Tribolium castaneum: one gene and its partner. The protein of the gene in region 1 purifies or fractionates together with the protein of each later gene. This does not show direct contact. Links are inferred from orthologs where the notes say so. Each region holds a gene or a part of one and is shown on either strand. Other genes may lie near its edges.

The links.
Region 2: the proteins of ptc (region 1) and hh purify together in Drosophila melanogaster (affinity purification with western blotting; 3 studies listed by BioGRID). This does not show direct contact. The link is inferred for Tribolium castaneum from reciprocal best matches to the Drosophila melanogaster genes ptc and hh.

The regions. Positions count from the first base shown.
Region 1 is NC_087403.1:6,989,708-6,993,100, reverse strand, and holds part of ptc (patched), read right to left. Parts: intron 2,572-3,393; exon of another isoform or gene 2,259-2,571; coding exon of another isoform or gene 2,241-2,258; intron 2,182-2,240; coding exon 1,655-2,181; intron 874-1,654; coding exon 393-873; intron 338-392; coding exon 1-337. UniProt on the Drosophila melanogaster protein: Segmentation polarity protein. Acts as a receptor for the hedgehog protein (hh). Associates with the smoothened protein (SMO) to transduce the hedgehog signal leading to the activation of wingless, decapentaplegic and patched itself.
Region 2 is NC_087397.1:309,553-313,646, forward strand, and holds the start of hh (hedgehog), read right to left. Parts: upstream 2,803-4,094; 5' UTR 2,784-2,802; intron 1-2,783.

The DNA of each region.
Region 1 (3,393 bases):
TCCTCATATGCGTCGACAAAATAAGGAACATTTCTCTCATTGCGAGTCCAACAGTAACAAAAGGTAACACATGCGTGCTCAGTAGGTTTATCGGCAGTCCGATCAAACTGCAAACGCCCAGCGCGGCGGCGGCTGAGCTCGCCAAGACCAGCACTCCCAAGGCAGCCAGCCCCGACTGGGCCACCCACCCGTACACCGCCGCCACCCCCAGCACCACCCCCAGCTTCACCACGTCCGTCTTCGACGCCTCCTTCAACATCTTGTTCAAATTGGCGGTGGAGAACGTCACGAAGATGTAATTCGACGACTTCTTGCTCTTCGTCAGACGATCCACCTCCTGGAACAACCAAAAATTACCACCATTCACTCTACTCCTTGCGCCAACCACCAACCTGTGCGAACTTCTTCTGCCAGGCGTTCAGTACGGTTGTGGCCTTCTCCTGGTTCCATCCGATGTGGTGCACTTTGTAATGTCCAGACCAGAATTCGAACAGTTCGTGTTCGCCCATTAATTGTACAACAGTTTGTAAAGCTTTGGCTTGTTTAATATGACCAGATTTATTCTTATTGGCACCGCCAACGATCAAGTCTTCCGGCCAGTGCATGTATTTCGCGGCGAAACCGTAACAACCACTGGTTAGTTCAGCACCAATATCTAAATTTTGACTCGAATTGTAATTTGGAGCCGTCACTGGACATTCCGGGTCGCGGGGGTTCAAACACGGCTTTTCCTGATATCCAGAGGTTATTCCAGCACGCTTGAAATAATCCTCTAAAGAATGATAATCAAACTGGGATTCTTTTTGCTTTAACTCGGATACTAACTGACTGGGGTTGAGGTTTGTCCATTTTATATGCTTGCCTATTCCATATCTAGAAACAAATAAACTCCAGATAAAACCCAAATCACACTTTGGGTTACTTTTTTTTGTAAATTTAATGCTCTGAATCGAAATTTAACAACAAAAATTATGTATCAATATTTTGATGACACTTTTCTTCATGTTTATCTATACTGCCTTAAGATTTTCGGTAAAAGAATCTAAGTGAGAATTCAAAAATGAATGACTTGTCGCATATTTTAGGCCTTAATACGTGAACATATGATTCAGATGGATTAATGTAACATAAATGCATAACGAAATTACAAGAAGTATTGGATTTTGAGAAATTTTGTTTATTTATTGTAAAAACAAATCATCATGTAACAAAACCAACTATAATTATCCAATTAATAAATTAATTGCTTGAAATTTGAAATTATGACACTTTTTTAATCCAAACTCTTCACTATGTTTCTATAAAATGAGTACATTGCGAACTCTCGAGATCTCCCCTATTTCAAATGAAAAATGTAAACTGTAGTTAAATTAGTTAATTGTTGTTGAAAAGAAAGGCGTAAATAATGTTACGTTCTTTCGCCAAGCCAAAAAAATATGAATTACTCGATTCCGATTCCGGATTAAAAATGAAATTAAATAAGACGATGAAAAAAAGTAAATATTTTGAATAAAACGGGTGATCAGCCTTTTTGCGAGCATTTTGGCTGTTGTTCCGGGAACGGTCGCGGTAGGTAAGACATTTGAGTTGGTTATAAAAGGGCAGCTGCTGAGCCCGTGACCACCCTCCAAGTCGGTCGGTTTTCCGAACTTACGGTATATGGACAGGATAATCAGGTCCGAGCAATTTGGAGCCTTCCCAGAAGCAGTCGAGCGCCGTGATGATGGAGCAGGGCATCATATTTTCGAAAATCTGTTCAATAAAGTGCGCATCAAAATTGGGAATGCTGGGTGCTTGGCAGAAGTCCTTGAGGCGCCAGGTGATGTCGAACATCGTGATGGTGACCTGCGTGGCCTTCTGGAGGAGCGCGAGGTGCTCCAGGAGGCCGTGCGGATGCAGGAGGTCGATGTCGGGCTCGACGGCCGTCTGCACGATCATCTGGTGCGTGGAGAGCATCTCCTGCGGCGTCGCCTCGGCGCCCGTGGAGGGCTCGGCCCACAGCAGCTCGATGTCCGAGTGGAAGGCCATGCTCTTCAGGCCCACGGAGAAGGTGGCGATCGCCAGCACGCTCACGAAGAGGAACTTGCCGGCGTGCGTATCGAGGATGCGGCCCAGGGAGCGCAGCTGGCGCTGAATTCGGCCACGAACCCACAGAATGCCGCGGTCTCCGCTCGCTTTGCCCTGCAACAGAGTATACCATGCAATGGACCACCCAAGCAGCGGCCTGACGTCACACGGACCACCCAAGTTGCATACATATGGATACGGCAATCTCCGCCGCACTTCACCGCCTAGACTGTCCTTCTAGGAAGGATCGTCCAACGCTAGCAAGCCTACCTACGGCCGCAGCGGCCTACCATTACTCCGATCACTCCGATTCAACAATATTGCCAATCACTACTCATACTCGACAGATACACACCGCCATACCATATCTCACAGCTGTCACACGACATGCCCTCGCACCGAAACGACCACGCAACCCCGAAAAGGAACCACCACACATTCCTCCTCTGCTTCCTCTTCTTTCATTACTATATTATACAAACGACGACATTTTTATCGCCAGTACCGATATGCCATTATTTTAGGACACCCTGTACGCACGAACGCCCACCAAACCCCTCCCGACCCCAAATTCCAACAACTCCTCACGACACAATTAACAAAAACCACCACTGACTTTTCGATACAAATCGATTTCTTGAGATTTTGGCACCTGTTATGACTAAGTATGACGTATGACATACTATATTCTATATACTTGGTATAATACTTGTGTTCCCTTCGATTCTACTGTTCTTTAAAGTTTTTTTAAACCCAAAAATGTTCCATTTGAAAAAACATAACTTTGGTGTTTTCTAATATTGGGACAGCCTGTATATGTACGAAGTTATACTAATATATAATAAGTTATTTAGCTTTTGTGTGTATGAAGGGCTGATAGGAAATGTGAGCCCTCGTCATGAATTTGGCGATCGTGGCTCGGTGCCAACAGCCTCCGCTCGCAGATTATGTCACAAAACCGCCAGCATTCAATTTCGGGTATTTATTTTTTATGTGGCATTCCTGTTGTCCATTAAACCGCTGGCTCATGCGAACGGAATGTTCACTAAATTGGGAGACATTCATCAAAATTTCAGTGGTCATTTCCCTGCTAATCAATAAAACCGTTTCCGTCCGAAATAGCGAGGCCTTTACCGCTCAAATATTGCAATTACCTGGCATAAAAAAGCCATAAAACCGCATTTACATATAAAATAAATAAAATAAGTTCGATTATTTTCATTAAAACCCGAGTCATGTGCATAATCTTTATTTGTTGCCGTTCTGAATTTAAATTTGCGAGTTGAGCGTGCATTTTTAAAAAGAGAGGAAAGTAGGTGCTCCAGC
Region 2 (4,094 bases), on another chromosome or scaffold:
TCCTCAATTACGGCAAAATTATTCGAAAAAGTGGAACTATTTTGATTCTGTCTTATGTAATATGATCCGAGGAATCGATTGGCATCGAAAAATCGTCAAATTCCCAACAGTTTTTTAGTTATGAAGCTTTTTTATATTACTAATTTTGTAAACTGTTAACCGAAGAATAATGATCTTTCTTGAAACAAATAATTAAAAGAAAAATTGAGTTATGTATACTTCAAGAATTCCAAACGCAATTAGAAAATTTGGGGTTTAAGTTTACCTAAAATTTGAAAACTCCATTTTTTTTCTTGTAATTTCCCCAAAAAACAGGAATGTTACCGATTTAAAAAAAGGTATGAATTAAAAAAAAATCTAAATAAGTGGAATTATTTCGAAAACAACTAAACTTTGGTTTAAAAAAATTCTAAGAAAAATTACAACTTAATTTTTTATGAGATGTTAAGGGCTATGACCTACAAGTTCCAGAGTTATCGATAACCAAATGAGAAACATTTCGAAAAAAAAACCTTATCAAAAGAATTGGATCAGCAATCAAACGGCGTAAAAATCTCAACCTTGTGTCAACAACAATAAGCCAGATAAGAATTTAGCACGGTGTGTTGTTTGCTCACCTTTTTCAGAATCTTTTCTCCCGGGTTTTAATAGACGGTAGCTAATCAGGTTCGTGAAAATTTTGTTGTGACAATTCAGCGTGACAATATTTATGACCTGCCCCAAGTTTTGTAATCTATTCAAGTCGTAGAGAAAGCAACGATAAATAAACCGCTCACAATTGGTGCTAATTTTCCATGACTTTTTTTTCAAATGAATGAAAATATTTCACTGTTTGTAAACACTACTGTAATCGCGATTTTATCACCAATATGATTAAGCCAACAATAAAAAAAAACTGATGTAATACAATCGCATTGTTGGGTTAATTCGTAGCTCAAACACTGTGTTTTTCAACTGGATGCTTTCAGTGAGATGCTAACTTTTACGAACAACACCATTTCTTTTTCCGACTGCGCTTCATTAGCACTTCCGAGATGTTAAGGTACCGAACAATGAAAGAGTTTTTCCGAAAACACCAAACTTTCTCTTTGTTTTCATTACACTGAAGGAGCAAAGTTTTTTCATTTCAGCTCCCCAGCAGCGTTGTTGCCTTAATTAATACATTTGTTTTTATCGCCACAACAATAAAATTTCATTTGCTCGTAAATTTGCGCAATCTATCATTTCGGGTAATTGCAGGTGTTAATAATAAATAGAAATTCCAGATTTATCATCCGAGTGACAATTCTGAGTATGGCTTGCATAACTTTGTTGGCTTTGAGTAAATAATACTTGGTTCTTGTGGGCAATTAGCAGCGATAAGAAAAGGTTTAGGCGCCAAAATTCCCACGATAAACCACCTGATGCTATAAGGGGTGACACCGGATAGCTACCCTCCATTAGGTAGGGAAGGGAAATCGATTTATGAATGACTTCTGGTTAAGGCGGAAATTGACTGTTATTTATTTGAGATAAAGGAAAAACTGAAACCGCAAATCGTCATCATGATTTGGTCACCTTTTGTGTGTCTTTTCAATCACTTTAGTGCGGGGAAAACCACTCATTTTTGTTTAAATAATAATTATTGACTGCTTTTCGGTTTTTTCTAAATAAACTATAGAATGGAGGTGAATTATTTATTCTTAAGTTTCATACGGAAATCATAAAGAAGAAAAGAAGTAGGTACAAAGTGCAAAGAAGTGAAGTAAAAACAATGAATACAAACAGAATATAAAAGACCACAAACAACTTGGCAAAAGAAAAAAATATGCTCAAAGACATTAGGTAAAGCACACAATTTCTTCTCAAATACGAATTTTAAAAAATCATCACTAGTTGGTTATTAGTTTTTTTATATTAACCCCCGACTTAAAGAAGGTAAATTAATTTATACAGTTATTAGAAAATTAATACGCAAATAAATAGCAAATCAAAGTAGTAAAATGTCAGGAAAAACTGAGTTTTATTCGCATATTTTAAAGGTTAATTATTGTAATAAGTACCATTAAATACAATTTCAATTACTACTTACCTTTTTGTAGTAATAAACATGAACAAATCCAGAAAAAACATTAAATTATAAGTTAAAATTAAGGTAACTTTAATTTTTTAATGATCGTTCCAATTATTTTGGAAAATTTCGTCCAAAATTATTGGAAAAATAACTACTTTTTGTAAATTTTGTAAATTAATGTTTGTAGAAGCTGAAAAATTACCGTCACTCACACTGATATTGTCTTACTTTTTTTGTAAGCATTTTTGATCCAAAAACTCTTTTATTTTATCAGATTTCGTAAAAACTAGCTAACAAATCAATAGTTTAAGCCAAAAGTAAGAATTTTTTGCTTAAAAACATCATCATATACGTAACATTTTCAATGGAAATTATTTTTTACGTACTCTAAATTGCCAAATGGGTGTGTGAGGGCTGCTTGCTGGCGTAGGTAAGGTAAGAAAAAAGTCAGTGATAAAAAACGACCGAATGAAGAAATTTGTGGAATTCGTGTGTATGCAAATGTGTGTCCCGCCGCAATAATTGAAAGCATTTAATCTCACTCGAAAGAATTCCGATCGTTCACATTTCGAACGAATCGAGCTCTAGTGAGAATAAATAAATTTCCAAAGTGTGTGAAGAAGAAACGAAGGAACTAACGAACGAACGGTGGTCCTCAAAACCCACATAGTCGTCGGACATCACAAGTGACTAAGGCCACGAAAACATTCATTAGTACAAGAACTGTCACCTGATAAAGGAGCAGCCGTGTCGGCAAACGGACCTCCGTAAATCTTCAGCGGGTTTGTAGTGTTTGGACTAATGCCGACCGCCTAAAAGCCAACGACTGTTAGGCAGTTGACGAAGGTGAGTTCCGTGTGTTTGTTGCTTGCTTGCTTGCTTGCCTGCCTGATGTTTTGACATTCAATCGGACCTCCTCCAACTAACACAACACTAAACCATTTATTTCAGATCGGTTTCAAACCCATTTCTACTTCTATATTCTCTTTTATTTGACAATAATTCGATAATTAACAATCTATAGAAAATAGATTTAATCACTAAATACACAAATAAACATAAATTTTAATAAAATAGCCAAGTCATTTGGCTCCAAATATTTATCTTATAAAAAAACTCAATTTTAAAATGACATTGTTTTTACTCTTGTTACGACTTTTCTGAACGTTTTTGACTCTAAAAATGAAAATTTTTGCCGAATTTCATCATAAATTTTTCAAGAAATCACAAAATTTGTGTATTTTGTACATTTTTTAGTAAAAGTAATTAAAAAATACCTAAACTATTGTCAAATTTGCGCCGCTTTTCAAGCATTTTTACATAAAAGCTAATAAGTTAAGATTATTTTTGAACTTTTTTTGAGGTTTCAGTTCCTTTTTCAGGCAGAAATTCACTCATTTCGCGAAATTCAAAATAAAAAAATACAAAGTTGAGTCAAAAAACACAAATTTGTTCTTTTTTCAAAGCGTTTCAGCACTTTGTCAGCCTGAAACACAAAAGTTTTCTAAAATTTTGTCCAAAATTTAATGATTTTTAAGCTAGATAAGCATTTATTTTTCTGAATTTTGTCAAAAATAAACCGTCCAAGAAAGAATTGACATATGTCAAAAACTATGATAGTTAAGTACTAACAAGTTTAGTAAATTTTTGTACTTCCGGAAGTATAGTCATTTTGAAAATGATTTCAGTTTTCAGTCATAGCTTTATGCAAGTTAAAAAATGCATCAGTCTGTATAGTTTCCAGTCTACAATCGAATAAAAGAAAAATGTTAGTGGTTGGAATCTTTCAGTGGTCTAATAATTCCATATAAACCTTGCGTTAAGAGTTCTCTTGTGTGTACTTTAGCACGTCTCAATTTTCTCTCGTTTGTATTAATTTGTGAATGAAATGTGGTCGTTGTTGGTTAGTTTTCCCACAATGGTATCGTGTAATTAGGTCCTTAAATTTAACAGCCTTGTCCTGGCACATAAAAATCGTATCTAGTTTTTGAGTTTGCGAAGAAGTTTATAACTCAGTAATTGGATATTACGGTCGTGTAAA